Alligator mississippiensis: one gene and its partner. The protein of the gene in region 1 interacts with the protein of each later gene in a pairwise test. Links are inferred from orthologs where the notes say so. Each region holds a gene or a part of one and is shown on either strand. Other genes may lie near its edges.

Region 1 (7,906 bases):
CTTTCCTGCCTGGAGCAGGGGGTCAGACCCGATGATCTGCCAGGTCCCTCCAACCCTAGAAATCTATGAAACCAATAAGGAAAGTAAATTCTGTCATGAATGCAATAAGCCAGCTCCTGTAACTATCCCTTGCACTGAGTAAGGAAGTTCCACTCCTCCAGAAGACTAGTCTTTTAATCTCCAGCCCCACTTTAATCTGTTTTCATTTTGCTGCCTTTATTTAATTTGGTTCTGGTAATATCTTGTAACTTTACAATACCATATATAACACTGAAAATGTTTTTTTAAAATTGTACGATGCTCAACACCTGCTGAACTAAATCCAGTTCTCAAGGACCACTATATCAAGCAACCACCATGATTTCTCCGTCCAATAAGCTATCATTGTATAGATGAATCCCTACCTTCTGTTCAGTTACCTGTGGCAGTGGTCCCACAGCCTACAGCAAAATAAAGTGTTAAGTGCTCTTCTACCTGTGTTGCCCCTCAGGCCCATTTAGGAGATGAGAACAGGGCCTGTACTCTTTGTTCCCCTACTTCCCTGTGTTTAAAGACAATTTAAAATGCTTTAATCCAAAAAATGTATATATTCTCTCCAGATTAGAAGCTTAATTAGTCTACCCTTGAAGACCAACATGATGAAAAACTAGTGAAATGACACCACAAGAGAATAGGCTGAAATCTGAGCAACTGATGCCTTGTCTAGACTAGGATTTAGAGTATTATATGAGTTAGCATGCTTGTGCATTTTAAAGAGTAGACAAAGTGCATTACTTTTAACACACATCAAGCGGGGGGGGGGTCAAAGACTTTATTTAACATCATATTGCATGTTAAAGGCAACATATGCCTTGCCTACACTAACATCTTAAAACTTGGTCGCTTTGTTAACAATCTACATTTTAGTTACTTGTATAGGAAGGGCTAGAAGAGAAAGTACATTTATTCCTACTGTTTAAAAAACATTTTGGGCACATCTATTTAGTTCCAATACTTAAGGGAAACTAGATTAAAAGAATGTCTTTGTTCAAAATTCAACATCCTACTCCTTCAGTTAGCTGTGAGCTCTTACACTTTAAATAAGGCAAGCAGCACAAAAATCATGGTTTGGGAAAATTATTTAAGGTCTTTTCACACAAATTAGGTTATTTTAAAGACAGACTCAAAGGACATTTCTAGACAAAGAAACAGAAGGTATTTAGGATTGTGTGCGTTTCCTAGTTATGCTTTTGTAATTTACAAATCTTCCTTTTGCTAAACTTAAAAGTGAAAACTGGGCCAACAACGTATTGTAAATTCTTCAGTTGAAGAAGAAACTGAAGGATATACCTATGTTCCGAGACCAGACTGGCAAATTTTGCATGTACAGTGTTTATTTCCACATCACAATGGGATGCCAAGCCAACGTTGTGGTATCTCTGGAAAAACAGACTAAGGTGGCCAGTTTTCAGGTTAACACGCTACTCGGAGCATAAAATCTAGTAAGTGTAAATAAATATCAGAATTTTTTAAAGAAAGACTATAGTTTTTAACAATTAATATTTCTTCACATGATTTTTTTTCCCCAACTACTCTTTCTTGATAGGTAACCTAGTCTGAAATTTAGGCTGTCAATCCCTAAAGCTGTTTAAAAGAAAGTTTTCCAGCCTCCTTTGACTGGTCAGAAGTCATCCCACCATTCACCAATTCACATTTTCATGTTCTAGAACACGAACTGTTTACCAAAAAAAAAAACACAAAAAAGAAGTCACACCAAGATATCCCTCAGTAATCAGAATGCAATGTCACTATTCTAAACATCCATAACAACCTACACAACTCGCTTATTCAAAATGCCAGCCTAATGCGTAACCTGTAAGCAGCGATTATGTATAGATTGGTAGACAACGACTCATATTTGGCTCAGTACCGACATGTGTCGTGCATCTTCCATGCTTAATTCAGAGGCAGAAATTCCGCAAGACTCACAGCCACGCCAATACACAGGATTCGGTCACATGAGATGAGCGTCTTGAAGACTTGCGTATTTTCAGTGCACTAGAGTGCCCAGTGCATATGCTAACAAGAATGAAGAAAAACTTGCTCACTAGACCCAAGCCTCTTTATAAGAAAAACTACACAGACCTGAATGTGCCTCTCATACCTGAACACGTTGTGGCCTACACTACAGTTTCCCTTTCTCTAATGCAAGGGAGAAAGTATTTAAAACTTTTCAACAGTGTTTTCTCATTAACACCATCAGGGCTGGTCCAAAGAAAGCAAAACCTTGAAGGGACTCTCCTTTCAGTATGTGGCAGGTAGCCACCCACCCAGACATGCTTCCTAGGTAGCCCCAAGCCAGCTCCCCCAGGGAAATCAAAGGGCGGGCTGCAGGGAGGCTGTACAACTGGGCCTTCGGATGCCTTCAAAAGGCTGCTGGGAGCTGCACAGCCTTAGCAGGCTCAATTCAAAGGCAGGTCAACCCCGGCGCCTCCCAGGCGGGGGACGGACGGCGTCCAGGACCAGGGTTGGGTTCCTCCGCGCTCCCTGGGCCGGGTCCGCCCGCCCGTGGGGACACCAGGGAGGCTCCTACCCAGGTCCCCAAAGTTTCCTAACGCGTCCCCAGCCGGGCAACGCAGGACACTGTCACCCCGGGAAGGGCCGAGCGGGGCCCTCAGGGGCTGAGGCCCGGGGGGCAAGGCAACCCGGGGCCTGGCCAGGCTGAGAGCGGTGGGGCCAGCGCGGCCCAGCCCCGAGGGCCCCAGAGACAGGGGGCCGGGCCGGGCCGACCCGGGGGCAGTGGCAGCCGCCCCCCGCGCAGGCGCACGCAAGGAGCCGGGGGGGGGGTGCTCTGACCTCCTCGCTCTTCAGCACCTCCTTGAACTCCCGCTTGATCCTCTGCACCGCGATGTTGGCCATGTCCGCAGCGGACACCGCCCCGCACCCGCTGCCGCCGAGCCAAGCCGAGCCGAGTCGGGCCCCGCGAGCTCCGCCGCCGCCGCCGCCGCCGGATAAGTCCCGGCCCCACCAAAATGGCGGCGGCGCCGAGCATGCGCGCTGTAGCGCCCGCCACTCAGGAGGGGCCGTGGGTGCGGGCCCGGCCCGCTCCAGCTCCGGCTCCAGCTCCGGCTCCTGCTCCCACTCCCCGAGCCCTGTGCGAGGCCACCGAGCTTCTGCCGTCTGTCCGCGAGGACCGCACCGCCGGGGCTGGGGCCAGGTTGTGATGGCACCGGTGTGATATCGCCCCCGGCCGCGCTGTTGCGTCCAGCTAGCGCCCCCGGCCCGGCCTCCCCTCCGCGCCCCGGGCGGCTGCGGCGGCGGGAAGGAAGAGGCGGCTGCGGCGGGTGATGAGGCGCGGGGTGAAGCCCCGGGGCCGGAGCGGTCTCCCCAGAGCCCCTGGGCGGGGGTGATTATGAAGGGCCTTCCCTTGAGGACCCTTTGCAGAAGAGCCCGGCTCTCTCGTGCCCCCCAGCCTGAGGGCGCGGGGGGACTTGGGGGCTGGCAGCTGTGGGGAGGCTGTGGCAGCAACTGTCCCTTCTGCTGCCTTGCACCCCAGGGAGGACTGCGCATGCTGGCCCGGCTCCTGTTCTCTTGTACAGTACTACAGAGCCACTGCACCAGGAGAGAGGGATGAGGGACTCTTAAGTCAGAGGGCCCCATGAATACGCTGGTCAAGGAGCATGAGGCAGCAGTGGTGACAGAAAGGCAGGCCGCTACGGTTCAGGAGCACGAGTAACATGGAAGGACACCTTCAGAAGTGGGTTCTGCCTGGTTGCTGAAAAGCAAAGCAACTCAAAGCAGTTTCACAGAAGAGCGGTGAGAGCTGGTTGTATAGGAAACCACAGTCAGGGATTGCCCTGGGCAGTAGTGACAGACCTTGAATCTGCACTTCCTTGACCTTAAGTGCTAGAGACTGCAAGTGGGACAGAAATGGTGTGAAGAAAAACCCTGGTCATACCCGGTTTGCTCGCCCTTTCAGCATCTGATCTCTGCTACTGTGTGATATAGGCCTCTTTGATGTGAACAGGACCTCAGGGTTACAGTGGACATTAAACTGAATATGAGCGAGCAGTGTGCCCTTGTTGCCAGGAAGGCTAACAGCAAACTGGGCTGTATTAGTAGCAGCATTGCCAGCAGATCAAGGGCAGTGATTATTCCCCTCTATTTGGCACCACTGAGGTGTACCACCTGGAGTACTGTGTTCAGTTTTGGGCCCCCTGCTACAAAAAGGATGTGGACAAATTGCAGAGTCCAGCAGAATGCAACAGAAATACTTGCCGGGCTGGGGTACATGGTTTCTGAGGAGAGGCTGAGAAAACTGGGTTTTATATAGTCTAGAAAAAAAGACAGGGGATTTCATAATGGCCTTCAATTACTTAAAGGGGGGTTGTTCCAAAGAGGATGGAGCTAGACTGCTCTCAGTGGTGGCAGATGACAGGACAAGGAGCAATGGTCTCAAGTTGCAGCAAGGGAAGTTCAGGTTAGATATTAGGAAAAAATTTCTCACTAGGTGTGTGGTAAAGCACTGGAACAGGTTAGCCAGAGAGGTTGTGGAATCTCCATCCTTAAAGGTTTTTAAGTCCTGAGTAGATAAAGCCTCAGCTAGGATGATATAGTTGGGGGGTGGTCCTGCTTCGAGCAGGGGGTTGGACTAGATGTGACCTTCTGAGGTCCCTTCCAACACCAATTTTCTATGATTTTATGTGCATTGGGAATGTGAGCCAGTGCCCACCAAGTAAAACTAAAAGCCCCACTTAGTATGGGGGGCCATTAAGTACACACCAAGTGATTACAGAGGACAAATAAAGAAGAAAACAGGAATGGGAATGAAAGTCAAAGGTTTAAAAAGAGTGCACCAAGGGAGGACACAAAGCAGAGCATACTGGATACTGCCCACTGGCCTCTGAATGAGTCCAAGGAGCCAGTAGACACTGCCCAGTGAAACCCTGCCCAGATTTGTGAACAGCTCATGGATAGGAAAATGGCCACAAAGTCCCCAGGGATCCTCCCAGCCAGAGCCCCTTTCCTGGTCAGGTAGATCGCTAGCTGTGTGACATAGGATACTGGGCAAGATGGACCTCTGGCAGGGGTGGGCAAAATATGGCCTATGGACTGGATCCAGCCTGCCAAGGGATTTTATCTGGCCTGAAGCAGGTCCCTTGGCCCTGTCCGGCCCAGACACAGGGTAGGGGGGTGCAGCCCAGGCCGTGGCATATACACCTGGTCCTGCTGCCCCTAGGCACACAGCAGGGCTGGGGTAGCGCAGCAGCCAGACTCTGCTTTCCTGTAACTTTGGCAGCGGCAGCTCTATACACCCCCATGGGCAGGGTGCGCTCGGTCAGGTGGATGGGATGGGATAGGATGGAATGGGATGGGGCCACTGGCAGGAAACAGCAATCGGGCAGGATGGGTAGGCAGGGCCGGGACCAAAATTGCAGGATGGTGACAGCACGGAGCCAGGGCCTGAGCAAAGATATACTCTCCGCACAATGGATCATGACCAGCCCAGCCCAAGAGTGGGGTGGAGTGCATACCCGTGACCTGGCCCCTGCTGCCCCTGCCCCATCACAGCACATGCAGACAGCCAAAGTATAATGTGGCTGTAAAGCAGCCCTGATAAATCATGACCAAATCAGGCTACCCCACATTGCTGGGCTGTGCCGCTCCACAGCCACACTGTACTGGGGCTAGCCATGCACAACTGTGCTGGGGTCGGGGCTGGGTCATGGGTGTGTGCTCTGTCCCCCTCCTGGGCAGGGCCAATCATGATCCATTGTGTGGGGAGTGGATCATGGCTTGGCCCTGTGCCCGGCCCTAGCCCTGCACTGTCACCAATTTTCCATCCTGGCCCCATCCCTATCCACCCATCCCACTCTGGATGCCGCTCCCTGCCTGCCCACAGTCCCATCTCATCCACCCGGGTGAGTGCACCCTGCCCACAGGGGTCCCAGGCCAGTCTAGTAACCTACCACTTAGGGAGTTCTGGTGAGCTGTTGCAGGTTGGGGGAGTGAGGGTGCCAACCTGGCACAGCAGTGGGGGTTGCTGAATGGGTCCACAACAGCTCACCAAAACTCCCTAAGTGGCCCTCCAACCCAAATAATTTCTCTCCTTTGACCTATGGTCTGATCCAGTAAAAGGTAATTCTTATGTAATGCTGTGAATGTTGTATCTGGCCAGTTTGGGAAGCCATCCGTGTAGTCTCAATAAATGCTATAGGGAATGGATTCTTTAGAACTGATTCCAGTGGCTTGTAGTTGAACTCAGCTGTAGCATGGCTGCAATGTATGCATACTGTTGTTTGTTTGTTTCCAGCCCTTCATACAATGTGCTTAGTGCTGCACAAAACAACAATGATACAGGCTCTGTTAACAAAACTGCTGACAACAAAATAAAGCTGTACTTTTTATTTTGGTGAGCACTCTTCCTCCACAACATAACTAATGTGTGGTCTCTTTCCCTGGGATAACATTGTCCCATGCATGTTCTTAGCTGTATCCATTTGTACAATTAATTTTTTAGTATCAAATTTGCTTTTGACACAATATATAACACTTACAAAGGGAGGCCTAATCTTGTGGTTAAAAGACCCTATCAGTCACAAGATCTAGATTTGCTTCCTTTTTCTCAGGCTTTGTGTGATCTTGGGCAAAAAAATGAGGCCTACATCTTCAGAGATATTCCAGCATCCAGCTACTATTGCTGTAATTATCAAGCAGAGTGTTGTAAGATCTTTTTAAGGATGAGGTGCTGCACAATACTGGTATTAGTACTGTAAGGTGTACAAACACCTACACAATGCACAAAATAAACTGAGAGATTTCAAATAGGACTCCATAGTGTCAAAAACATTCAGAACTGTTGTGTTCTTTCTGAGTTTTTTTCAGCAAAAGAATTATTCCATTATTTTTTCATAGTCAAAAAGGATTGAATGTTCAAAGCAGTGCCTTGAGTCTAAAAATGTTGAAAACCACTATCCTGTTGACTTAACTGGAAGTTACATGCTTAAACAACTACAGGTCTCTGGGCCCTAGCATCTCTGTACGTCAGTTCCACAGGGGTATAATGGGGAAGATAATGGTTTTCCACCAGATAGAAGTTTTGTAAAGATAAAGTTTGTAAGGTGCTGAGGTACAGACAGTCCTTGACTTACAACGTTTTGAGTTACAACGTTTCGCACTTACAACATTTATAAATTGACACCCTGTTTCAACTTTCTGACATCAGTTTCGACTTTACAACGCTTGATCTGATGTGACACCATGGCAGCGAACAAGTCGCTGTGTCGCCCATCTCCCTGGAGAACATCTGTCCAAACTTCCTTGGACACTTCCTTTAAGAAATCAGACAAGACTCTAGAAAAACCTGCAGCCTAGACTCCTGAGAAGACTCCAGCCAAAAACCCTTCAAAAAGTCCAACCGAGAGCCTTTCAAAAAGTCCAGCAAAGTCACCTCAAAGAAGTCTTTCCAAATCAATATGATTGCTATTTACAATATAAATACATTAATGTAGCTATATTACTCATCTATAATTGATCGAGTACAAAATTCTGAGGTATTTTTAGTGAAAATAGGGTATCGGGCCTTGATTCAGGAACTGATCCCCCATTTATAACATTGTTTCTTATGAGAAAATTGGTTCTGAGTTACAACGTTTTGACTTAAGACACGGTTTTCAGGAATCAATTGTGTCCTAAGTCTGACGACTGCCTGTATTCTAAAGGAGAGCTATTGTCAAGCCTATAAACAAACTAAATTAGTATTCAATTTTAACAGAAAAAGGTATTTTTCTGTTAACCCACAATGGTGAGAAGCTGTACTTCTAATCTACAGACTTTGTTCAGTAGCAAGCAAAAACATTACAGTAATTCTATGAAGTTCCTGAATTTCTTCTGTGTTCCCATGAGTTTGGTGGTACATTATAAGTGC
Region 2 (7,645 bases), on another chromosome or scaffold:
ATTGCCCTCTGACCCTTTTGTTTGCCCTACCTGCTAAATCATCACCAAGGGAAAGGATGAAAGGCTTTATATCAAGGTATATTAGATAATATTCCTATACTGCTCTGTATCTTGTCCCCACCACTCCCTATAAAAAGTTTGGATAGGTTTTCAGCTATAACAAACACTGGTGTATATCTGAGGTTCTAACCTTAAAACAATTTGCCATTCAACATTATTTGTTCAACAGAAATGTAAGTAAGGAACTGGTTTACTTAAGAACAGCCAGTGTGGAGCTGAAAAAAAAGAAAGCTAAACTTCTCAGGATATTGTTCCTGAACTTTGTTGAAAGCCCCCTCCCCCATGCCCTCCCCAAAAAAGAAAAAGCAATATATGATCTGGACAATTGATTGAAATATCTGGTAATTTTTTTCAAGTCCTAGCTTTATATAACACATTATTTTTTAAGACCATGGGAATGGCATGGAAGGAATGAAACCAGAAAGGGATGATTTACTTGCATGCCTGTCCTGCAACAAGCGTGTCACAATTCACCAGTGCAATGTATTCCCTGTGCTTGCTGGAGTAAACAGTGCAAACAAAGCTGCTCAGATACAAGGACAGTAGAGCTTTGCATTTTGAGCTTCATTGAAGCCACACACCATTCACTTGGAGAAGGGAGCAGCAAAACTGGCTATATGCCTCCTTTTATGGTATACAGATTCTGGGGGTGGCTACTGATCTGACCAATCCTTAGGAAGCCGAGGAGAGCCAAAACAATCAAGCCTATAATGCCACCCTCTCCCCCCATACCTCTTTTTACCTAAATACTTGCTTTCACCATCTTGCAGGTTGATTTGTGCTGCCACACAGGGCTGTCTGCATAAAATACACAGTTGTAAAGAGACTCATGTGAGTACTCCCCACAGGTTTATTCTTTTTTCCTTAGGCTGCTATTAAGGTAACCCTGATCCATACCTGAGATAAAGTTTTAGGTCTCAAGTTAGGGGCAGCAATTGAGGCATGACTCAGATTAACATTGCAATGAAAGCAAACCCTAAAACTACTCACTGGCAATCTAAATGACTTGTGTCAATCAGATCTGGGAGATAATTATTGAAGTTAATGGCTTTAAAAGGATCAATCTGTGTAATTTATGTTAGATTTCCATCTAGTAGCATAACTGGGGGGAGAGGGGGGATACAAAAACAGCAGCTGCTGCAGCTGCCAGTTGGCTCCACCACCACAAGTAGCTGCACTACCTAGAGTCCAGGGCCTGTTATGCCTCTATTTCCACCTTCTGTCCTTCCAGACCTGTTCTGCCCCTTTCTCCTGCCCCCAGGAGGAGTGGAAAAAAGTTGTTGTTGTTGTTCTTCTGGTTTTATTTTTTTTCATGGTTTTGCTGCATTTTTTAGGAGGAGGAGGGTTTAAAAACATCATTCTATTTGTCTGTATTCTGGAATGACTATTTTAAAAACATTTTAGCCAGCTGTCTTTATTTAAGAGTGAAACTGGTAGTAACAGAATATATTTAAAAAAAATGCACTACATTAAATGTGTTCCTGCATAAAAATAGTATTATAGTCTTTACAAACTGTGAAGATGAAGTCATTATTTACATGCGGATTACTAAATAATGAGCCTATCAGAAAACAGTAAGGAGAAATGACACAAAACCACACACAATGTTATACAAAGCCAAATAAAATGTTACAATACAAATATCCACTTGTTACACAAAACCAAATAAAATGGTACAAGTATCCAATCTAGACAACCATATGAATAACGATATTCATCATCTCTCATCCATCTAAGTAGGCTTCCTGGTTGAACAGTCTATTTATTTAAACCGGAGCCTTCAGCTACATAAACCTTCTGGAGCAAGAGTGCCATAAGTATACTTGTTTACTTAATCCACTTTCCAAGCACAGTAGGCTAAGCCAAATGGAGGCACTCTTATTCATGAAGAATGGTGTCCAGACTCTGTGTCCATCTGAAATAGCTATGCCAGAATGACTCCAGAGGTAACAAATGAACCTTAATGAGGGCTATAGAAAGAGGATGGATTGGCGTAAAGGCCTTGTGCTTATCTCTATAATCCTTGCGTGCATTTTCCTTTATAGAGCAGGGGTTCCTAAACTGTGGTGCATGTGCCCCTGGGGTATGCAACACATCTCTGGGGGGTACACTGGAGAAATTGTGTAATGGCGGATTTGTCATGATAAGAATGATTGGCATTTAAAGGATTAAAACACAAAACCTATGCTGTTAGGGTTACATGGGCAGCTAGTAAATCTGGAAGGGGGTAGGCAATAAGAAAAAGTTTGGCAACCTCTGCAATACAGCTTTGGGGTTTTTTTTCCACCCCAGTTCATGTTGACAAACTCAAGCAGAGCCAAAATTTCCAGCCTTTGCTCAGCAGAGGGGAGGGACTGTCCATGTCCATACAGAGGACACTCCTCACTCCACTCCAGCCCTTTGCCCCCAAAGATCTGAAAACACTACGGAAACATGGGCAGGCAAGGGAGAGGGGGCACCTTGGGACCCCTGCCCTGCCAGCTGCTCTAGCTCCTTTGTTTTTAAGCCTCAAAGGTTACCTGGTTCTTTTAAGTGCCTGTCCCTGGCTGGGGTTAGCTGGCAGGAGGAGCCCCGGATCTTTGCTTTTCCTCCGTGGCACAGCGGGCAGGGCAGGGAGCCGTGCGATCCTCTGCCCCTGCAGAGCTGCCCTTCACGGGCGGAGAAACGCTGCTGTTCCCGGGGGAGCAGGCTGAAAGCCCTGCGACGCAGGCACCGTGCTTCAACCTCCCTGCCGCCCTCCCTGCCCCGCTCCGCGGCGCGGCGGGGCCCGGCCGCACTCACACGTGTCCGCACTGCGTCCGCACGGGCTGGTGCAGCACCTCCAGGCAGATGGAGCAGTCGAAGGACGACGGCGGCCGCGGCTCGGCAGCTCCGCCCGGGCCCCGCGGGGGCTGGGGGGCGCCGGCCGCCGCCTCGCTGCGCAGCGCGGAGCCCATGGCCGCCGCCTGCCCGCTCGCCCCTCCGCACCGCCCAGGTCACTCTGGGCTGGCCCGGCCCTGCAGCGTCCTCCGCCTGAAACCCGAGCCCTGCCGGCCGCCCCGCTCCCTGCCCCCAGCCCTGCAGGGCCCTGCTGCTCTCTGCGCTCCCCTGAGCTGGGGCAGGACCCGACCCTGCTGCTTATTGCCTGTGCTTCCCAAGGCCCTGCTCCTCCCTGCGCTTCCCCTGAGCTATTTAGGTGGGGATACTTGTACCAGGTGACACTCTGCACAGGAGAGCCGTGCCCAGCAGAGCACCCGAGCTAACAAGGACCCTCACTTCAGATGCCCAAGGCTCCCCTTCGCATTTCCTCTTTAGGTTAGATGTGCTTCTGAGCAGGCCTCTCTCAGTCACAGTGCTGATGCCCGGGGTGGCGTGACAGACCGAGGTAGCTGGGATAGCCTGAAGTCGAGGAGAAGGCGTCTGGTGAAGGAAGCTTCAACCCATGAAAACTTGTGCTTTATGTATATGTAGCATATATATATATGTCATAACCAAAGTGTGTGTGTGTGTGTGTGTGTGTGTGTGTGTGTGTGTGTGGCCTGTATAGATACATAGGGCACAAACTGATCTCCCCACAGCTGTGAGGGAGCAGCCCCTGAGCTGGGACAGCTCCCTCTGCCCCCCGGGGTACGGGAGCAGGTCCTGATCTCTGCCCAGTTGGAAGAGTTGCGTCCATGCCACATAGGGATCCAGACAGGTCCCGATCCCCACATGGCTGGAAAGACTGCTGCCCCTGCTGCCAGCACACCTCTTCCGGGCACATGGGGATCAGGACCCATCCAGATCCCCACTTGGCAGGGAGACGGCTTCCCCTGCAGTGGGCACAGCTTCCCCTACATCAGGGCTTCACCAGGCAGCCTGGGCTGACAGGGAGCAAATTGCGCCTGGTCAGACTCGGTGTGCTACTGCACAGTAGGTAATGCACTGTTAATTTAGTACCTCTATTTCCTGCTATTAGCTAATGGTGCATTAGCCTAATTTACTGCACAGTAAATCCCATGCACGTATAGGCAGTGACATTGTAATGTGCAGTAAAGCGTCTCGTATAGATGTGCCTGGTGTGCTTAAAATGGAAGCAACAAGCAACAGATTAGCTATGCCAGGGACCTTGATGCTGCTAATGTAGGAGGAACCGCAATTTCTTAAAATTTGTCCTTAGTGTCAAAAGGTTCATTGTTTCAGAAGCAGACAGCTATGCAGCAGATTAACTTCTGGAAGCACAGAAGAAATACAAATTACATCCCTCCCTTTCCTCCCACTTCTGCCTCATGCAGCCATTGGGGCAGCTGCACTGGAGTGCAGATGCATCTGAGAAGGCACTCATCTGAGAAGACACTTGTATTTAGATATTTAAAAAACCCTTTTCTATTAGTCATGCTAGTTCACAGACCCTTTAATACATGAAAGGGTCAAAACTTTTGGATAAGACTGATTTTTAAAATCCAGCAGGCTGGAATCCAAAATATCAAACAAATATTGGCATTAGCAGAGCTGTTTGCCTCACAGCAGATTATACTGTAAACAGAATACCTACATGTAATTACTTTTACAAGTTGGTTTGTTATAATAACCCAGAGAAACCTCTCATGGGTGACCTGTAAAGGATTTTGGAAAACTGGGTTTGCGAACCTTCTTATTTGTATCTTTTTGATATATAAGGGAGGACAGTAAAGTTCAGTTAGCTTTTATGTAAGGAAGCTGTTGTTGCTTATTTGTTTGTCTTTTGACTGTCATGTATCACAGGTCTGGTCTTTCCCTAATTTCAATGGAGGATTGCTTATGTGTGTGTCAGGGATATAATTCTCCTACCTTCACTAAATATGCCTGTAGTGTTGGATCTTTCACAAAGATATCTTTTTTTCCAAAGTACATAAAAAGTTCTTCCAAAAGTTAACAAAGAATACTGTTACAAGTGATCTGAATAAAGACCTTTCCACTCTCAACAGCTCAGGTTTCATTTTATTTTCAAAATCATTGCTTCACTACCTCTCCATAGAGTCTTCCTAGATAAACAAGACATGATTTTCTACTGTAAGAAATGCATTGTTTGTTTGTTTGTTTTTAAGAACAGCCTTTAGTTTTCTAAGTACGATAAAAATAAATAAAAATGGGAACTTAATTTTTTAAATTTTTTTAAAGTTCTCTTTAAAATGGGCTGGGCAAAAGAATCCTGGAATGAATCCTCATGTAAGAAGAGTAAAGAAAAATAATATTTCACCAGTTTATGCTTGCTTACACTTTCTTACTATTTTTTTTAAATCTGTAAATATTTTGCAGTCTGTTAGTCATCCTGGTATATCTGCTTTTTGCTAGTTTCCAAATCTCAATGAGTTTGGAGGAAGATTGTAGGTTATCAGATATAGTTACATTGTTGTTTCACTGATTAATGGTCTGTAAAATAAAATAACTTCTGTACTGGTGAAAGGTCAGTATATTTATGCAGCATTGTCTTAGGATACAGTTTAGTAATGATTTGCAACATTACTTTATAAATAAAAGATTTTTTTTAACTCCTTCTTTTGAAAGATAGTTTTTAAAACAGCCCTTTCGTTACGTGAAAAGAAGGTGGGGCAGAGTTTTGAAATTAGTTATTCAAAGGAAATCAGGAAACAGGTTATAAACAAGGGCAACAGAAATCTGTAAGAAATCGTAAAGAAATCTGAAGTTATCTTCCATTTCCTCCCTATGTCAGTGGAATTTCTGATTGTTTTCCTACCTGGTTCTAGCACAGTGTACCATTTGTTGTTCTTTTTTCATATTAAAAGGAGCCTAATTTGCTTAACATATTTTGAGTTTGTCAATATCATCATGAATTTGGATAAGTATTTTCTGTAGTTCAGTATCTTTGCATAAAAAAATGCAACCTGCTCTTTAATAAGAAACAAAAAGGGAAAAAGTATATTTGGCATAGTTTTATCCAACACTGATACAAAAGACTTTAGAAATGCATGTGGCAAATAAAAGTAATATTATTTATGAGAAGAACACAGAGAATGTCAGTGTCTTTGTTGCTGGATGCAGGATGTAATCCTTCATTCATTGTACTCAAAATATATAATGAAGTTAGAGGAAGTTTTAGGGGATGGACGAATGCAGGAATAAGAAAAAAAGTTTTATTGTTCCTGCCAATCCTCTCATGGAGTGCAGGTGTGCCTCACATGGAAATTACAACTCAGTGGATTTACAGGAGAGGGAGGCTCGGACACACAGTGTATTTCTGTCATTTTAAGAAGTAAACTTATGATGCACAAACCTGAGCTGGTGTAGCTCACTTCAGTTCGGTGTAGAATTACTCAGGGAAAAATAATGGGTAAAACTACATTGAGGTTAAATACTCCGGGGTACATGTTGTGTGTCTGCAGCCATTCCTAAAGTAGCTGTCTGCTCAAAATACACAGGTGGCAAGGCACTGTAATAGTCACCTTCTGTCTGAAGCTACACAGAGGCTGCATCTACACGAACCGCCGACTCCACAATTGTTACTTTGCAGTCATTTAGTACCAGTGTTACTGCACAGTCCTGTATCCGCGCAGTTATTTTTAGATGCTTCTGCGCAGTAGCTTGTTACTATTGCACAGTAGTGTTGCCATCAAGGTTCATGCCCAGCGACACTACGACACTACGGCGCTTTGGCAATGAGCCCGAACTTCAGTGATGCAACATGATAACAGTACCATTAGCCAATGGAGTGTTTATCTGTTCAATTATCTCCAAAGACAATGCAAGAAAAAGCAATCCGTGACTGACTAGAGCCTTCCTGGTAAATTAGACTATTCTTAAAGATTAACCACACTCTGACAATTTGAACATGAATAAAGTATGAAATCCATTAAATCTCACTTTATTAAAAATACATATTAACAAGGAATTAAGCATCTATCTGTAATGTGTGGAACAAAAAATTGCTTTATCACTGGAGAGATAAAATGGAAGTCTCATACAGCTAGTAGTAAAATGTATAGAGGTTTAAAAAAGTGTAGGTGATAACTTTCTAATATAAAAGATATTCCCCTTTCCTCCCCATGGAATAGCTCTATTTCAGATCTCATTATAATAGATAAAGAAGAACTTGATCGATAGATAGAAAGTTGGTGTTTTTCTTGGAAACAGTGATTATGACCTGTTCACATTCCTTAGGAGCAGAGAACAGTCCCAGACACAATATATTGCTGATATGTATTGTAAGCAGTAAGTAATTCCATTCCATTGCAGGATATGGAAGCACTTTCTGGGTTTTATGATGGGTAAGTGAAAGGAATGACATCTAGAATCCTGTGGAGGAAAGCGAGACATTACAAAAGCAGCTGTTTTCTTCAAGATGTAGGTTTCCCTTCAACCTTTCTTGCCAAGTATCCCCTTTCTGTCATCTCTGTCTCATAGTATAGAAGTTTGCTCCTTGTTGTCTGGCACCCTCTGCTATTGTGTTCACATCTGACAAGCATCAGATTAGCAAGCAGTGTTGCACTCTTCCTTGATTATGTAGGCCAAGCTCTATGGAAAGCCAGGCTCTGTATATCTGTGGGCCTGCAATGGACATTCCACTTGGGTTCTAGCCAAGCCTCCCCAGTCATGCCACTGGCATCCAGTCTGCCCTGCTTCATAGAAG

Evidence for each region.
Region 2: the proteins of UBE2K (region 1) and RNF125 interact in a two-hybrid assay, tested with the Homo sapiens proteins (2 studies listed by BioGRID and IntAct). The link is inferred for Alligator mississippiensis from reciprocal best matches to the Homo sapiens genes UBE2K and RNF125.

The regions. Positions count from the first base shown.
Region 1 is NC_081825.1:50,895,572-50,903,477, reverse strand, and holds the start of UBE2K (ubiquitin-conjugating enzyme E2 K), read right to left. Parts: upstream 3,002-7,906; 5' UTR 2,899-3,001; coding exon 2,836-2,898; intron 1-2,835. UniProt on the Homo sapiens protein: Accepts ubiquitin from the E1 complex and catalyzes its covalent attachment to other proteins. In vitro, in the presence or in the absence of BRCA1-BARD1 E3 ubiquitin-protein ligase complex, catalyzes the synthesis of 'Lys-48'-linked polyubiquitin chains.
Region 2 is NC_081826.1:81,058,995-81,066,639, forward strand, and holds the start of RNF125 (E3 ubiquitin-protein ligase RNF125), read right to left. Parts: upstream 3,012-7,645; 5' UTR 2,997-3,011; coding exon 2,842-2,996; intron 1-2,841. UniProt on the Homo sapiens protein: E3 ubiquitin-protein ligase that mediates ubiquitination and subsequent proteasomal degradation of target proteins, such as RIGI, MAVS/IPS1, IFIH1/MDA5, JAK1 and p53/TP53.